Danio rerio: one gene and its partner. The protein of the gene in region 2 purifies or fractionates together with the protein of the main gene of each other region. This does not show direct contact. Links are inferred from orthologs where the notes say so. Each region holds a gene or a part of one and is shown on either strand. Other genes may lie near its edges.

Region 1 (3,658 bases), on a different chromosome or scaffold from region 2:
GTGAATGTCACATATGAGCAAAATGGTCTAATTGAGTAACAGGTTTGGACATTAGTGACCTCTTTAGATGAGACTGACATCATAGTGACGAAATAAGCTCTTGTTATGAGAGTTCATACTAAAATGCTTTGCAGAAATTATTTGAACATACAAATGGACTTGATTTGGATTGGGTTAGTGAAAAAATGTAATGTATTGTTTATTTTTAGACAATCAACTAAACAATGGGTTGGAGATGTAAAAATAAAACCAATATATCAAGATATTAAGACAATATAAACATAGAAGAATAAACAAAATGACAACAGAAAAAAATAATAATTTGACTAAAATAATAATAAAAAATTAAAATGTAGTTAAAATTAAAGAATAATTTAAATAATAATACATTTAAAAAGATAAATAATTAATGACTTAAATTAGTGAAAAAAACTATAAATAAATATTAAGAAAAAAATAAAAACAAAGAAATTAGGTAGGATAATAAAAAAAACTACAAAGGATTTTAATAAGAAAAATATATATGTTAAAAATAATGACAAACAGAAAAATGAAAAAATTTACAACAAATAATAATATGACTAAAATAATAATACAAAAAACAAAACAAAAATTCACAAAAGACTGGGAGACACAAAAAATAAGATGAGTATTAAAGAATAATAGAAATATATAATATAAACTAATGGTTTGGATTAGAAAAAACAAACAAACAAACAAACAAACAAACAGTAAATAAATTAGGAAAAAACAATAAAAGCTAAAATTAAGTTGGATAAGAAAAAAACAACAAAAGGATTTGAATAAGAAAATTATATAGGTTACAAACAATGAGACACACAAACTTCAAATAATATGACAAAAATAATAATACAAACAAATCATGAAAAAAAAGAGACTGGGATGCACAAAAAAGTGAGATGTAAATGAAAGAATAATAGAAAAATAATTAAATTAATGGCTTGGATTAGAAAAAAAACAAACAATAGAGTGGTCCCCCTCATTAATCGCAGGTGTTGCATTCTAAAAATAGCCCACAGTAGAAGTAGTCAGCTTTATTTTTTACAATTATTATAAACGTTAAGGCCTTCCTCTGCCTTTTGGGTGCTACCCCATGTGACTTTGAAGATGTAGAACGTTTCGTCGACATTGAGGGGAGAAAACTTGCAAACAGACAGTACAGCACTTCAGAGTCACACTGCTAGCGATCAAAGATTTATGTCAATTTGGCAAGCTGAACGTATTCTGTACTGCATAGGAGACATAGCACGGAAGATTGATTGACAATGGTCTACAGACAATCAGGACGCAGAACACAATGTGCTGTAAAAAAAAAAGCATGTCAAAATTGCACTTAAAAAAATCTGCGAGGCCGCAAAAGGTGAACTGCGTTATAGCGAGGCACGACTGTAAATTAGAAAAACTATTAAAACTAAAATTAAGTTGTTTAATAAAAAAATAAAAGAATATAAAACCAAATAGTTTGGTGTACCAAAAATAGACAAAAAAACAAACAAACTAAAAATGTATAAAAATAGACAAAGAAAAACCAGGATGAAAAGTAAATAAAAAGATACAATGACTAAAATAATAAACAAAACTATTAAATGCAAAAACAACCCACAATAACCCCTAGAAAATCATAATGGATTCAAGCAACGCAAGATAACGAAATCTCGAGCACAAACCAATGCGTTTCTTACCTTCTTCCTCTTTAGGGTCAAGCTGGGTGACTTTGACCTGCAGCTTGTCCACTCTCTCTCCCAGAGTAGTGACCCGATCAGCAAACTTGCTGGCTTGAACAAACAGCTCGCCGAACACATCCTCCGCATACTTGCCTGTGATTGAATGACAGGTTAAAAACAGCACAAATGATTTTCCCTCAGCATTTACTCCATTAGACAAACACTCACTGAGCGATCCAAGCTGGCGAATGATGTTTGCAAGTGTGATGTTGGTCACACACTCCAGTTCACTCTTGATCGTGTTTGGCAGCGTTTGGCGACAGAGGTGCCGCGGTTCGATGTTTCGCGTCACCAAAGGCATGATGGGAGATTATTTGTCTCCTACCTCCTCGAGAAAAACAGAAATCACACAAGATGCATTACAAATAATGTCGCTAGATCATCTAAAACACACTCTTTAATTATTTTGAAGCATGTTTACAACACTTATGGGTCTTACGAGTCTTTAACTCTTGTGTATTGCTCAAATCGACTACAGTTTCGTTATGTTGGTGGCTGTTTTTGCCTGTATGACTTCCATAATGAAGACATTTTTTTTGACTGCAAAGCCATGACAGCATATAATCATGCATTCTTGATTGTTAAGGGTTTTCCCAGTTGGGAAGAGGTAAAATGTGTCATTTGTACAGTCGATCATCAGTTGGCAGCATTAACCCTTTAGACTGGCCTTTGCAAAAAAGTTTCTAGCTTTTATATGGAGTAAAACAGCAGATTATAGTGTGCATGAATACTCTTGCTATGTTTACTATGTTCTGAGAGCTCAGCTGCTTATTTTGATTTTCTCAGCCATATCAAGATAAGTGTGCAAAGGTCTCTCATACACTCGCGCAGACATGCTATACATAATACAAACAGTAAAAATGTCAAATTTGACCTCTTCCCAACAGGGAAATACCAGTAACAATCAAGAATGCATGACTATTTGGTGTCATGGCTTTGCAATTAAAAAATGTGATTATAGTGGAAGTCAATGGGGCAAAAACAGCCCCCATCATAATGAAAAGGTAGTCAATTTGCCTAGAGAGTATTAAAGGTTTTTGCAGGTTTCTTTAAGTCAAATTTAAAGACCCTTTTAAGACCAGTATGAATGAAATTTTAGACTTTTACAGGGCAAAACACTAAGACTTTTTTCTAATGGCCAGGTTACTTTTATATTACCTCTAAAAAGTTTATGTATTGATAGAAGACCATGTAAATGGATGTGGTGCTTTAGTTTTTCCCCTAAATAGGGAATTTAATCAGGAGAATTTGATGTAAAAAGTCTAACAGATGTTGTAAATTGTATATTTTTTGCATAAAAAAGTTTAATATAAAAAAAGGTTTTGAGATGGATAATTGGTGATTTGATGTTAGCCTGATTGGGTGGCTTTACTTTTAAAGCAGTAGATTTAAGACAACAATACAATATTTAATTGAATTTAAGACATTTTAAGGCCTTAAATTTAGCTTTTAAAATTCAAGACATTTTAAGACTTTAAGACCCGCGGAAACTCTGGTATTGATGAGTTTTTGAAAAATGTCCCAGCATCTTCCCAAAGTATGTCAAAATAAGATCTGTCTCCAAAAATCATTCCATTTGCTGAAACACGGAGAAACTAGTAGTCAAATTAAGACTCAAAATCACCCCAGAGTGGTTGATGAAAACATCCCCAACAGCACACAAGGGTTAAAGCAGAACCAAAACTGCTGCAGCTGTTTCTTTGACCAAAATACAACAACCTCTAGTCTAAATTCATGCATGCAACTGCACTTCTTGCCTTAGCTCAATTGGAAAATAAAACTACACCAAATGAGTCAAAGACGGTGTCTGTCTGCCTCAGATTAAACTCAAGAAAGTGATTTTACATGCATAAAAACAATATTAAATGCAAGTAGTTTCCACTTTAATGTTTCAAATAACTAATTTTATAAAA
Region 2 (4,215 bases):
TGAAATTTCAGGTTGGATTTCATGTAATTTATTGTTTTCTAATGCATCCCATTCCTTTTGCCACTTGTTTAAAATGCAAGCGTTGATAAAAGGTTTCATCTCTGATGGAGGAATTTGGCATTTGATCACTACTTGCTTCAAAGCATCTTTAGCAGCTGCATCAGCTCGCTCATTGCCTGAAAGTCCAACATGTCCTGGAACCCAGCAAAAAATGATGTGATAAAACTGATTTTGTGCTAACCTTGGATTAAAAATAGTAGATATTCTGACTTAGTAATATTAATATAATATAGCAATATTGGCATTATAGTATACTGATTATTTTTAAATATCTAGGTAACAACAACAACTTTTTCCCCATTGAACACAATATATTTCAATATTTTGGAACAGTAAATATGTCAAAATAATTAAAATAAATCATTGATTCTTCATTCGTTTCAAAAGCACAGATTTCTTTACTTGAAAATGCATCTTTGAATATCTTTCTTTTCATTGGATATAAATAAGGCAGTGAAAAACACTGTTCGGGTCCAAAGCATGCTTGGATGAAGTTACAAGTCTTTAACAAGTAAAAAATCTGTATATATATTGCAGGAACGATATAACAGAAAAGATTTGCGGTTTAGAAAAAAAACTGACTTTTTCAAACCACAGTAAACCTTGAAAACGGTTATCATCCCATCCCTATTATGTGCTTTTTTTAAATCATAAAACATCATTAGCTTAAATATAGGATAATAAAACGCAAGTAGTCTTCATGTGAAGAGCATTATTTGTATGCTGTGCTGCCTATATGTAGTGAGCTCCAGATGGTGGCATAGTTTAGTTACCCATATAGACATTCATTGATCACACTGAACAGAGAATTCCATGTCCAAATACACAATTTACAAGAGCACAGGATGGAAAATGTGACAGAAGGTCTGCTTCAATGACATTCTCATTACTCTTGTTCCTTCACAACTCTGTTCTAAAATCCCATAATGTAAATATTTAAAAACTGGCCCTTGCTATTAAAAAAAATATTGCTCCTAACAAACTCCTAAGTGAGAGTTTGCATACATCAGTGCTGAGAATCACAAAAACTGCTTTTGGATATAAGTCAAAAGATGAAGGCATAGAAATTGCTTTACAATTATGTAAAGTATATAATGTATGAGCAGATGTGCAAAGAATATTGTGAATATTACAGGAAAAAATGGAGGCTACAAAATAAAGTTTACTTTCTATAATTAACAATTTGCTTAATTCATTTGCATTAAGTTTGTATGCTTGGGTTTAATGTCATCACAGCTTCTATCTGCATTTTTATGTTTAGAAAAAGTGTACAGGAGATATAGATTAAATTAAGATTTTACCATTGAATTTTTAAAAAAAATCTAAAACAGACAAAAAGATTTGCATGGCTCTTCAGTCACCCATAAAAAAAACATAATTGAGCAATTCCAGAATCATGGATGTGACAATTGTAGTAAAAACTCAAACCATAAATTCACATAGAAAGTATATGTTAACATAATATCGAAACATCTGTTTATATTTTCCAAAACAACTAACCACAGCGTTATGGGAACAGAAAAATATCAATCTGTAAATACATTTTAAATTTTAAAAGAAGAAAATAAACATGCATTAAATGTTAACATGCAAAAAAAGTCAGCAGAGTTTACAGTATAACATACTACTACTAACTGTACAACCCAAAAGAAGTAATGTTAATCAAAGAGATAAGAGTTGGCTCAGTATGAAACAAAAATTATTGATTTCATTTTATTTGACATTTTTGAGAGAAAAGCTTTATTATGGATAAGATGCCTCTCCGTTATGGATGTGACAGATGTAAAATTGCTACTTGTGTGACTTTGGTAAATCAAATATAATAGTTTGAAAACATTGACAGAGACATTTCTGAGTATTTTTAAAGTACTGTAAAATACTTACACAAAAAAAAATGTAGAAACTGTATGTCTATTTTGGTAAAAACCTATTTTTTATGGGAAGGTTGATATTTGCATGGAATTGCTCAATTATCCAGCACTTAAAGAAATTGCTTTGAAATTTATACTAATCCAAAAACATGATATGCTACTAACCATCATGTCAAAAACACTATCACCCCAGTATTGATTGCACCAAAACAGTTATGATTGCAATGTACCAAAAAGCATATAAAATACGAATTATTTACAGATTACAAACTGACTGAAATTTTAGACAAAAATAAAAACAAAAAATAATCTAAAGGTAATGTTTAGACTTACAATATGCTTCAAACAGCATGTCAAGATTTCACTTCAAAGTGGTTACAATCAGCTAAGTGTCGTCTATTTTCACAATATAGGTCTACGTTTACAAGACTAAATGATTTGAATTTTATCCGCGTTGTTTTGAACAGTGCTGTCAGCTGCTTCACTCGCATTCATTATTGACAGAGCAAAGTTTCCCCAATGATCATGTAACTTGAATACTACCTACCTACACGCTCAAATCACTGCACACAGAAGTTCAAGCCCTCCAAAAGTAGCCACCGCTTAGTTTAAAGCCTCACCTACGAGTGTCATAAACTTTTATAGTTAATCTGAACACGGACAAGCCGCGGTTGTTTGTACGTACTTAGCGCTGAGCCTCAACAGATGATCAACAACCACCGCACACACATACACACACTTCCAGCCTCCCCAACTCCACAAACACATACAATGCGTACTCCTTCGCCGCTCACCTGTACGTAGTTACTTTCGCAGTACTCGGCGACTCTGTCAAGGTTGGTGAAACTGTCCAACAACGCTCTGCGACCCGCTGGAATTTCCTCCTCCAGCAGCATCTGCAGCTCCGCCATCTTTACATCTCCCTCTCTCTCCCTCCACGCGCAACTAGCGACAGGAAGTACCGCCGCTTCACCTCCCCGTTGAGTTTGGGGAAAGCAGGGAAGCGCGTCTACCAATCCTACTATGGCGAAAAGTTGAAATATAATATAATATAATATAATATAATATAATATAATATAATATAATGTAATGTAATGTAATGTAATATAATATAATATGATAAAATATAATATAATATTATATAATATAATATAATTAATATAATATAATATAATATAATATAATATAATATAATATAATATAATATAATTAATATAATATAATTAATATAATATAATATAATATAATATAATATAATATAATATAATATAATATAATATAATATAATTAATATAATATAATATAATATTAGGATTATTATACATCATGCAATCAAAAATGGCTGATCACTCAAATTACTTTTGTTGCTTGTTTAAACTACTTATTTAAAATAAGTTGAAACAACACAATTCTTAAGTTGTTTTTGGGACAACCTAATTATTTTATGTTGAACCTACTTAAATTTGAGAAAACAATTAAGTTGATGTGATCAATTTGTTGTGGAACTATGAAGCATGCTCAATAAACTCATTTCATTCTGATTAATAGTGCTGATTTTTAAGGTCTTTAGCTCATCAAGTTGCATTTGTTTGTTCAAAAGAGAGTGAAAAGATAAATATTATATCAATATAAAGGTGTCAATAGTGAAAACTTTGTTTTAAAATGTAATTTATTTGTTTGATTTGATCATTATTTACAATGTCACATGATCTGTTAGAAAACAAACATCCAAACAATTTGATGAATGTTTTTGCAGATCAACATTTTCATTTATTTGTATTTTATATAGATGTTCAAAAATTACAAAAGAACATCATCTATCTATCTATCTATCTATCTATCTATCTATCTATCTATCTATCTATCTATCTATCTATCTATCTATCTATCTGTCTGTCTGTCTGTCTGTCTGTCTGTCTGTCTGTCTGTCTGTCTGTCTGTCTGTCTGTCCGTCCGTCCGTCCGTCCGTCCGTCCGTCCGTCCGTCCGTCCATCCATCCATCCATCCATCCATCCATCCATCCAGTCTGTCTGTCTGTCTGAAATGTATTATCATCATTATGGTCATGGTTTACACCTCTCTCTCTCTCTCTCTCTCTCTCTCTCTCTCTCTCTCTCTCTCTCTCTCTCTCTCTCTCTCTCAATTCCATTTAATGTTGTCAGTGGCTTTGGTGTATTTCTCACATTATTTACATTTGCAAAACGGTTGATACATTTCTCAAAACAATTATTACAAACTGCAAAACCTATTTGATAACCTGCAAAAGTAAGTCACTTGCTCAAAA

What was found.
Region 1: the proteins of abi2a (region 2) and wasf2 purify together in Homo sapiens (affinity purification with mass spectrometry; 3 studies listed by BioGRID and IntAct, counting the BioPlex papers as one, with this or other methods). This does not show direct contact. The link is inferred for Danio rerio from reciprocal best matches to the Homo sapiens genes ABI2 and WASF2.

What each region holds. Positions count from the first base shown.
Region 1 is NC_133194.1:46,359,944-46,363,601, reverse strand, and holds part of wasf2 (actin-binding protein WASF2), read right to left. Parts: intron 2,074-3,658; exon of another isoform or gene 2,071-2,073; 5' UTR 2,047-2,070; coding exon 1,914-2,046; intron 1,839-1,913; coding exon 1,704-1,838; intron 1-1,703. UniProt on the Homo sapiens protein: Downstream effector molecule involved in the transmission of signals from tyrosine kinase receptors and small GTPases to the actin cytoskeleton. Promotes formation of actin filaments. Part of the WAVE complex that regulates lamellipodia formation.
Region 2 is NC_133184.1:13,879,027-13,883,241, reverse strand, and holds the start of abi2a (abl interactor 2a), read right to left. Parts: upstream 2,843-4,215; coding exon 2,726-2,842; intron 1-2,725. UniProt on the Homo sapiens protein: Regulator of actin cytoskeleton dynamics underlying cell motility and adhesion. Functions as a component of the WAVE complex, which activates actin nucleating machinery Arp2/3 to drive lamellipodia formation.